Linked DNA regions of Ovis aries. The protein of the gene in region 1 purifies or fractionates together with the protein of each later gene. This does not show direct contact. Links are inferred from orthologs where the notes say so. Each region holds a gene or a part of one and is shown on either strand. Other genes may lie near its edges.

Region 1 (3,500 bases):
TTCCTCCGCTCGCACATCCTGCAGCCGCCGCAAGAACAGCAGCTCCGTTTCTGGGCAGGAAGAGAGAGCGGACCATGGAGCCTGGTGGGCCGAACCCCAGCTCCCTCTTCTCAGGGACTGGTCTCCTGCCAGGGCCAGGGCTGGGAGAACAGGTTCAGGAACAGGACTTGTTTCGTCTCCATCAGGACCGAACCTCGAACGTGCAGCCGGGCACTCGTGGACGTGCCCCCGGCTCGGGCAGTCACGGTCCCTGCATCCTCAAGCCGGCAGCTTCGCACGGTCAACGTGCGGCTTGACCCATTCTGGGTCGTCTCTAGCTGGGGCCCTGGAGTGATAACGACCCCATTGCGCAGCCAAGTGATGTCGGCGTCTGGTGGGGAAACTTCACATCGGAACGTGGCATCATCCCCCTCGTGGACAGTGAGAGGCGTCAGCTCCGAGACCAGCTTCACCAGTGGGGGTTCTGGGGGCGGAGGGCAGGATCAGACAGTGAGGGGGGCTGGGTCTTTCCACCGTTGCCCTCCTCAGCCCCTCCTCATCCCCAGAAACAGGCCTTCATCCCCCAGTTATTAAACAGAATCTTCCCGAGGACCAGCTGTGTGTCAGTCATGAGCTGTTTTGAAGGACAAGATGTCAACTCCCTGCCTGTCACTCCTCACCACCTCATCTCCATGCTGGCTGGGCACCCACCTCTCTGACTCCCTAATAAAGATAGATCATTTAGGACAGACCCTGTCAATCTCATTTAACTGTCACAACAGCCCTATAGGACAAACGCTATCCTCCTCCTTGGGACCCGGGGCTCAGACAGTTTAAGCAACTTGCCAGTGTGTCACACAACTACTGGGAAGGAGATTCGAGACTGGAACCTGGAGGGTAGACTCCAGAGCCCTCTGCCCCTCCTTTTTGAGGATTCCTGGAAAGGGGAGCCCTGAGCCCTCATCCATGTGATAGCTGTGCATGCATTGGTGGGCAGAGAGGTGGGTGGGGGTGAATGGTGGGGGGGGGCATGAGGCCCTTGGTGGGGGGGGGCCGGGGCCCCAGGGGAGTGAGGACGACACTGTTACCTTCCACGCTGACGAGGAAGATGCGGCTGTCCTGGGGCGTGTCGCACAGGTACTCCCCAGCGTCCCTGCTCCGTGCCCCCCGCACCCGCAGCACCTGCCTTGCCCCGTCCTGTTCCAGCTGCACCCGCCCCTGGCTGGCCAGGCGCTCCCCGTCTTTGTACCAGCGCACAGGGCCCCCTGGCCCGGAGAGGCGCACCGCCAGCTCTAGGTCCCCGCCTGGGGTGCTGCGAACCCTCGTCTGGGCTGCCTCGGGGGCCACCACCCGCACGGGGGGCTCTGTGGGGTCAGGGCTGGGGGTCATTGGGAGGGAATGGGTCAAGGGCTGGGGAGGAGGGTGGTGGGAGGCCAGATGGGGAGAGGGACTGAGAGCCGTGGGGCAGGGGCTGGGGGCTGGGTGCACTAGAGAGGGGGAAGACTCAAGGGTTTAGGGGCGAGACTCTCAGGTTTCCTGCCCGGGGCTATACTCACCAGCCACTTGGACGGTGAAGCTGAGGCTGGGGGCCCCCGGTGCTGCCCCACACTGGCAGGTGTAGAGGCCCGCGTGAGCCAGGTCTGCAGCCCGGATGCAGAGGACGCGGCGGGGTCCTTCGGCTCGGAGCTCCAGGCCCTCGCCTGTCTGCACCGGCTTCCCATTATGGCTCCAGAAGACCAGGGCACCAGCCCTGGACAGTTCACAGCTCAGCACCACCGGCTCCCCGGGAGCCACGCAGAGCGGGCCAGGGGCTGCCTCTGGGGCAAGGAACTGGACAGGGGGCTCTGGACAGAGAGTGGGTGTGTCAGCTCAGTGATGCCCCCTGCTCCCGCCTCCCAGACCCGGGCTGGCCAGGATCACCCACCAGCCAGGCTGACGTTGAAGGTGACGGCTTCATCGCGAGTCTCACACACATACTCCCCGGCATCCTCGGGCTGGGCATGGGGCAGGGTCAGGGTGCGGGTGGGCCCCTCAGCACCCAGCTGCAGGGCTTCTGATGCTTCCACCTCCAGCCCATCCTTGTACCAGCGCACCTGGGACCCAGCCGGGGCCACCTCGCAACGCAGCTCCACGCGCCCCGGAGCCCTGAACTGCAGGTCCAGGGAGCGGGCTGCTGGGTGCACAATCCTCTCTGGAGGAGCTGGTGGGCGAACAGAGAGAGAAGTGGGTGGGCTCGGCTTCTACCTGACTGACCACTGGCTTCTCAGTCCTCTCCCTTTGCAGAGCAGCTCTTGGGAAATGGTACCACCTACAATCGTGGGCACTTACTGTGTGCCAGGTGTCATGCTGAGGACACTACAGTTCTTTTCTCAGCTACTCCTGACACTCCCTATTGCTGCCTTCACTTTATAGATGAGGACCTGAAGCCTCTTTATAGGGAACTGACTTGCCCAGGGTTGCACAGACGGAAAGAGCTAGACCCACACTCACAGATCTATCTAACCCCAATGCACAGCCCTCCCTACCCCTCCATTTCCTGTCCCTTTTCCCTGCTTTGCCTCTGAAGAACCGATCACCACCTGAAAAACCACCTGTTTCCCTTATTTGCTGTCTGTCTGCTCTCACAAGAAGGTAAAGACAGGTTTTCTCTCCTTCATTCATTACCGAATCCCTCAGCATCAGAACATGCTGAGCAGATCAGTGTTTGTTGAATACACAAATGAATGAGCACTCCCGATTGCTGGGCTCTCTTCACCAGGCCTCTGGCCACTGTCCCAACCTGGTTTGGGCAACCCAGGGCTCTCTCTGATGGCTGAGAATGAGGAGGCTGGGAGAGGAGGGAAGGCTGGACAGGGGGAAAGTTGTGTGTGGCACGTGGGGGCCCTGACGGTGCAGGAAGTGGGAGGGGTGGGTGTCTGTCCCTCAGCCTCCTGCCTCTCTTCCTCCCTGGGGGGGTCTCGGAGACTGCCCACCTGTGACGGTGACAGTGAAGAAGGCTGAGTCGTCTCCAGCGTCGCATACGAACTCGCCCCCGTCCTGGGGCTGGGCGGCGGGCAGCACCAGGCGACGGCGGGGCCCGTCGCTCTCCAGCACCAGGGCCTCGCTTTCCTCCACCTCCAGCCCATCCTTGTACCAGCGCACCGGGGCATCCTCCCGAGACAGCTCGCACATCAGCACCACACACTCCAAGCTCACGGCCACCAAGGTCACCTCGTCCCGGGGGTATAGGATGCGCACTGGGGGTTCTGCAGAGTAGGGACAACCACAGGCTGTCAGACTCACTGTCAGCCTCTCTGGAGCTGTCCGGCAGCATGAAATCCTGGTTCCCCAAATTGTTAAGAGTGATAAGGATAGTAATAGGTCCAAAATCTGTTCTCTGAAATCCCTGGGGCCACAGGTGTTACAGAATCCAGAAATGCTTCCAATTCTAGAAATGGTACATTTATCATATAGCATATACTCCTCCTCAGCCCCTACTGTGGAACCCCCCATAATCAATCACATTAACGTCTCTGCAGTGT
Region 2 (3,500 bases), on another chromosome or scaffold:
GGTCTGGTCTGGGGAGGTGGAGGCCATCAGTTCACGCCAAGTGGAGCGAGTGCTAGTTGCCTGGCTGGTAGCAGATCCCACTTCCATAATCACAGTTAACACAAGTCCCAAATCCTCCCCCACCAGCTTCCAGCATCCCAGAGGCCACAGGGCATGGGAGGGCGGTGGTGCAGAAGAGGGTGTGGTGCTGTAAACAGAGGAATGTGGGGCCTGACTGAGGCAGGGTTGAGCCAAAAATCCCAAGCCGAGGAGATAGGCTGAGCCCCTGGCACATACCCCAAGGGGCAGCAGATACCTTGATCTCTGGCACCACAATCCTCGACTCGGGGTTCTTGTCCAACATGCGCGTGATCAGGTCCTTCAAATCCTTGGCTATGTCAGGCCTGGCGGGAGGAGATACATCAAGGGTGGGAGACGTCACCAAGGGCTCGGAGAAGGTAGCAACTTGCGGTACACGAAGGATACTCACTGATCTGGAAATTCCAGGGCCTGACTCTTGATCTTACTGTGTAAACACATGATCCGCTCGTCCATGAACGGGCACTGCAAAGAGAGGTCAGGGACAGAGCAGCCATCAAGGGCTGGCACAGCTGTCCTTCAAGGGTGGACGGCACTCCACATGGGTCACAGCAGAGAAAGAAACAGCCAGGCAGCCCAGCCCAGGGAGGAAGCAGTTCCCATTCCCCGGAGATCTGAAAGGACCAGGAGTATCTTTCCAGAAGGGTTAGAGCCTTCCTAACTACACTGGCTTTCCTCTATAGCTGTGCGTTAATTTACCTACATAAAATGTTAGTCGCTCAGTCGTGTCTGACTCTTTGCGACCCCATGGACCATAACCCGCCAGGCTCCTGTGTCCATGGAATTCTCCAGGCAAGAATACTGGAGTGGGTAGCCATTCCCTTCTTCAGAGGATCTTCCTGACCTAGGAACTGCACCTGGGGCTCTCCCATTGCAGGCAGATTCTTTACCATGAGTCATCAGGGAAGACCATAAAGCAAAGACCGAAAGCAAACACTCACTTCACCCACCTGCCCTGTGAACATTAATAATACAAAGAACAACACAAAAGACAAAGCAGCAGTAGCTGTGATTGGTGAGGGCTCAGCCTGGGCCAGGCATTGTACTGAGGTTTCTCAGGACCAACATCTCATTTGGCTGTTAACCTCTGCCTAGAATGGGCTTCCCTGGTGGCTCAGAGGTTAAAGCATCTGCCTGCATTGCAGGAGACCTGGGCTCGATCCCTGGGTGGGGAAGATCCCCTGGAAAAGGAAATGGCAATTGCCTGGAGAATCCCATAGACTGAGGAGCCTGGTGGCTACAGTACATGGGGTCGCAAAGAGTCGGACACGACTGAGCGACTTCACTTTCACTTTCTGCCTGGAATGTTCTTCACACCAGTATGTGCATGGCTTGTTTTCTTCCATCATTTAGGTGTCTGATCAAAGCTCAACCTCTCAGGGAGGTCTTCCAGAGCTCCTGTCTAAAATGGACACCCACTCCACCTCCATATGATTTCTCACCATTGCATGTGCCCTCCTGACATTATTCCATATACATTGGGGAGATTTCCCTGGTGGTCAGTGGTTAGGATTCTGTGTTCCCACTGCTAGGGACAAAGGTTCAATCCCTGATTGGGGAACTAAGATCCCACATGCCACATGGTATGGCCAAAACATAAAACCATATGGATTTATTCACTGTTTAATTCCTGCACGGGAATGTCAGCTCCAAGAGGGCATGGATTTTTGTCTGTCTTGCTCACTGCTGACACCCAGTGCCCAAGAACATTCCTGGCACAAAGTAGGGGCTCAATAAATATCTGTTGAATTAATGAATGCTTGAATTATTTCTGCTGATCCTCTCAGAAGCCATAAAAAATAGTAAATACTGGACTTCCGTGGTGGTCCAGTGGTTAAGAATCTGCCTGCTAATGCAGCAGACCCAGGTTCCATACCTGGTCCAAGAAGATCCCACATGCCACAGGGGAACTAAACCTGTGAGTCCCAACTACTGAGCCTGCACTCTAGAGAAGGCGTACTGCAACTACGGAGCCCACGTGACACAGCTGGAGAGAAGCTCCCACTCACCGCAACTAGAGAAAACCTGCGCACAGCAACGAAGACCCCGCGCAGCCAAAAATGAGTAAATAAATAAATACTTTTAAAAACAGTAAATATTATTCTCATTTTACAGGAGAGAGAAAACAGAAGCTCCGAGAGGTGCTATGTCCTAGGAAGCATGAAACTGGGATTTAAGCCTAGACTCTACCCTGAAGCCTGTTCACACACCACCTCCTGGGTGACAAGGCGATCTTCTCACAGGAGGAAGGGCCTGACCCAGGAGGAGCTCAGGGATTGTTTTGGAAAAAGAAACCTTTAAGCGGGGTGCTCAAAAGGCTGCAAAAGGTCACAGAAAGTGACCTTGTCTACTCCTGTCCAAGGAAAATGATGCCATGAGAAACAATAACTTGAGATGTCAGGGTTGCACAGGTGCATCCATGTGACAACTCATCAGAGTACACTTTTAACATCTGTAGATTCCCTGATGTGTACATTTTAGCCCAAAAGATGAAAGCCACAGATAGTGAGCTCTGGCTAATGACTGCACTCTGAAGCATATGTAAGAAGGTATAATTCTTACAACTTGACTACAGGATTGAAAATTTTCTAATCAAACGTTGGGTTGTGGGGAGGAGATTATAAACTTTACTTCTTCACGGGATCAGTTTCTTAAGCTTTTCTCAACAGGAGCATAAGCTCAGGAGAAGGAATAATTCTCATCTTTACTGCTCACATAATCAGTCTGAACTTTAGAATTAAAAATAGAAGCCCCTAAATACGAGTAATATAAAAATAATAAAAGAGCAACAAAATGAAGACAAACAGCACTCCCTAAATCAATAATGCCAAATGTTTTAAATTCCATTCCAATTCTATTCTTCCAACAACAGCTTCCAGGAACACTGTTGAGAAGAACATCAAAGCAGTACCAGGCTCAGAAAGAAAGATTGCAGTTATTGATTAGTGATGCCTATCTCCTGTTTAGAAGTGGAAAGAGGTGCACATTTGCTGTCCTTGACCTAAATTCATCAACTGTATTTACAATTTCTAGAGCCTCTACCAAAACCCTGTTTTAGCAGGTTGTCTTCACAGATATGACTGTTATGTACAGCTATGTATATTTGGGAAGGCATACTTTTCCATATGCAGATCTAACTGTGGAAATAAAATGAAATAACTTTTAAATGAGTAAGTTCTATCTCCCTGCAAGGGTAACTATTAGTCCAAGGGAGCCACCCACAACAGCCAGGACACAGGACACCCCACCTTACCTGGCCAAACACAAAGCAGTACAGTGTCACACCCATGGCCCAAACATCCAGCGCCTGCCAGAAAAAGAGAGCTCAGTGTGAGGGGGCAAGGGGCAGTAAAGGGCATAACCTTCTTTCACCTATCCAGGATCCAATCCTCCAGCTTTCCTTTGGGGAAGCAGCTCTTTTT

The links. The genes of interacting proteins can lie anywhere in the genome.
Region 2: the proteins of OBSL1 (region 1) and CAMKK2 purify together in Homo sapiens (affinity purification with mass spectrometry; 4 studies listed by BioGRID and IntAct, with this or other methods). This does not show direct contact. The link is inferred for Ovis aries from reciprocal best matches to the Homo sapiens genes OBSL1 and CAMKK2.

The regions. Positions count from the first base shown.
Region 1 is NC_056055.1:221,476,938-221,480,437, forward strand, and holds part of OBSL1 (obscurin-like protein 1), read right to left. Parts: intron 3,225-3,500; coding exon 2,952-3,224; intron 2,180-2,951; coding exon 1,904-2,179; intron 1,824-1,903; coding exon 1,536-1,823; intron 1,344-1,535; coding exon 1,068-1,343; intron 464-1,067; coding exon 194-463; intron 51-193; coding exon 1-50. UniProt on the Homo sapiens protein: Core component of the 3M complex, a complex required to regulate microtubule dynamics and genome integrity. It is unclear how the 3M complex regulates microtubules, it could act by controlling the level of a microtubule stabilizer.
Region 2 is NC_056070.1:53,942,889-53,946,388, reverse strand, and holds part of CAMKK2 (calcium/calmodulin-dependent protein kinase kinase 2), read right to left. Parts: intron 3,386-3,500; coding exon 3,332-3,385; intron 544-3,331; coding exon 470-543; intron 384-469; coding exon 296-383; intron 1-295. UniProt on the Homo sapiens protein: Calcium/calmodulin-dependent protein kinase belonging to a proposed calcium-triggered signaling cascade involved in a number of cellular processes. Isoform 1, isoform 2 and isoform 3 phosphorylate CAMK1 and CAMK4. Isoform 3 phosphorylates CAMK1D.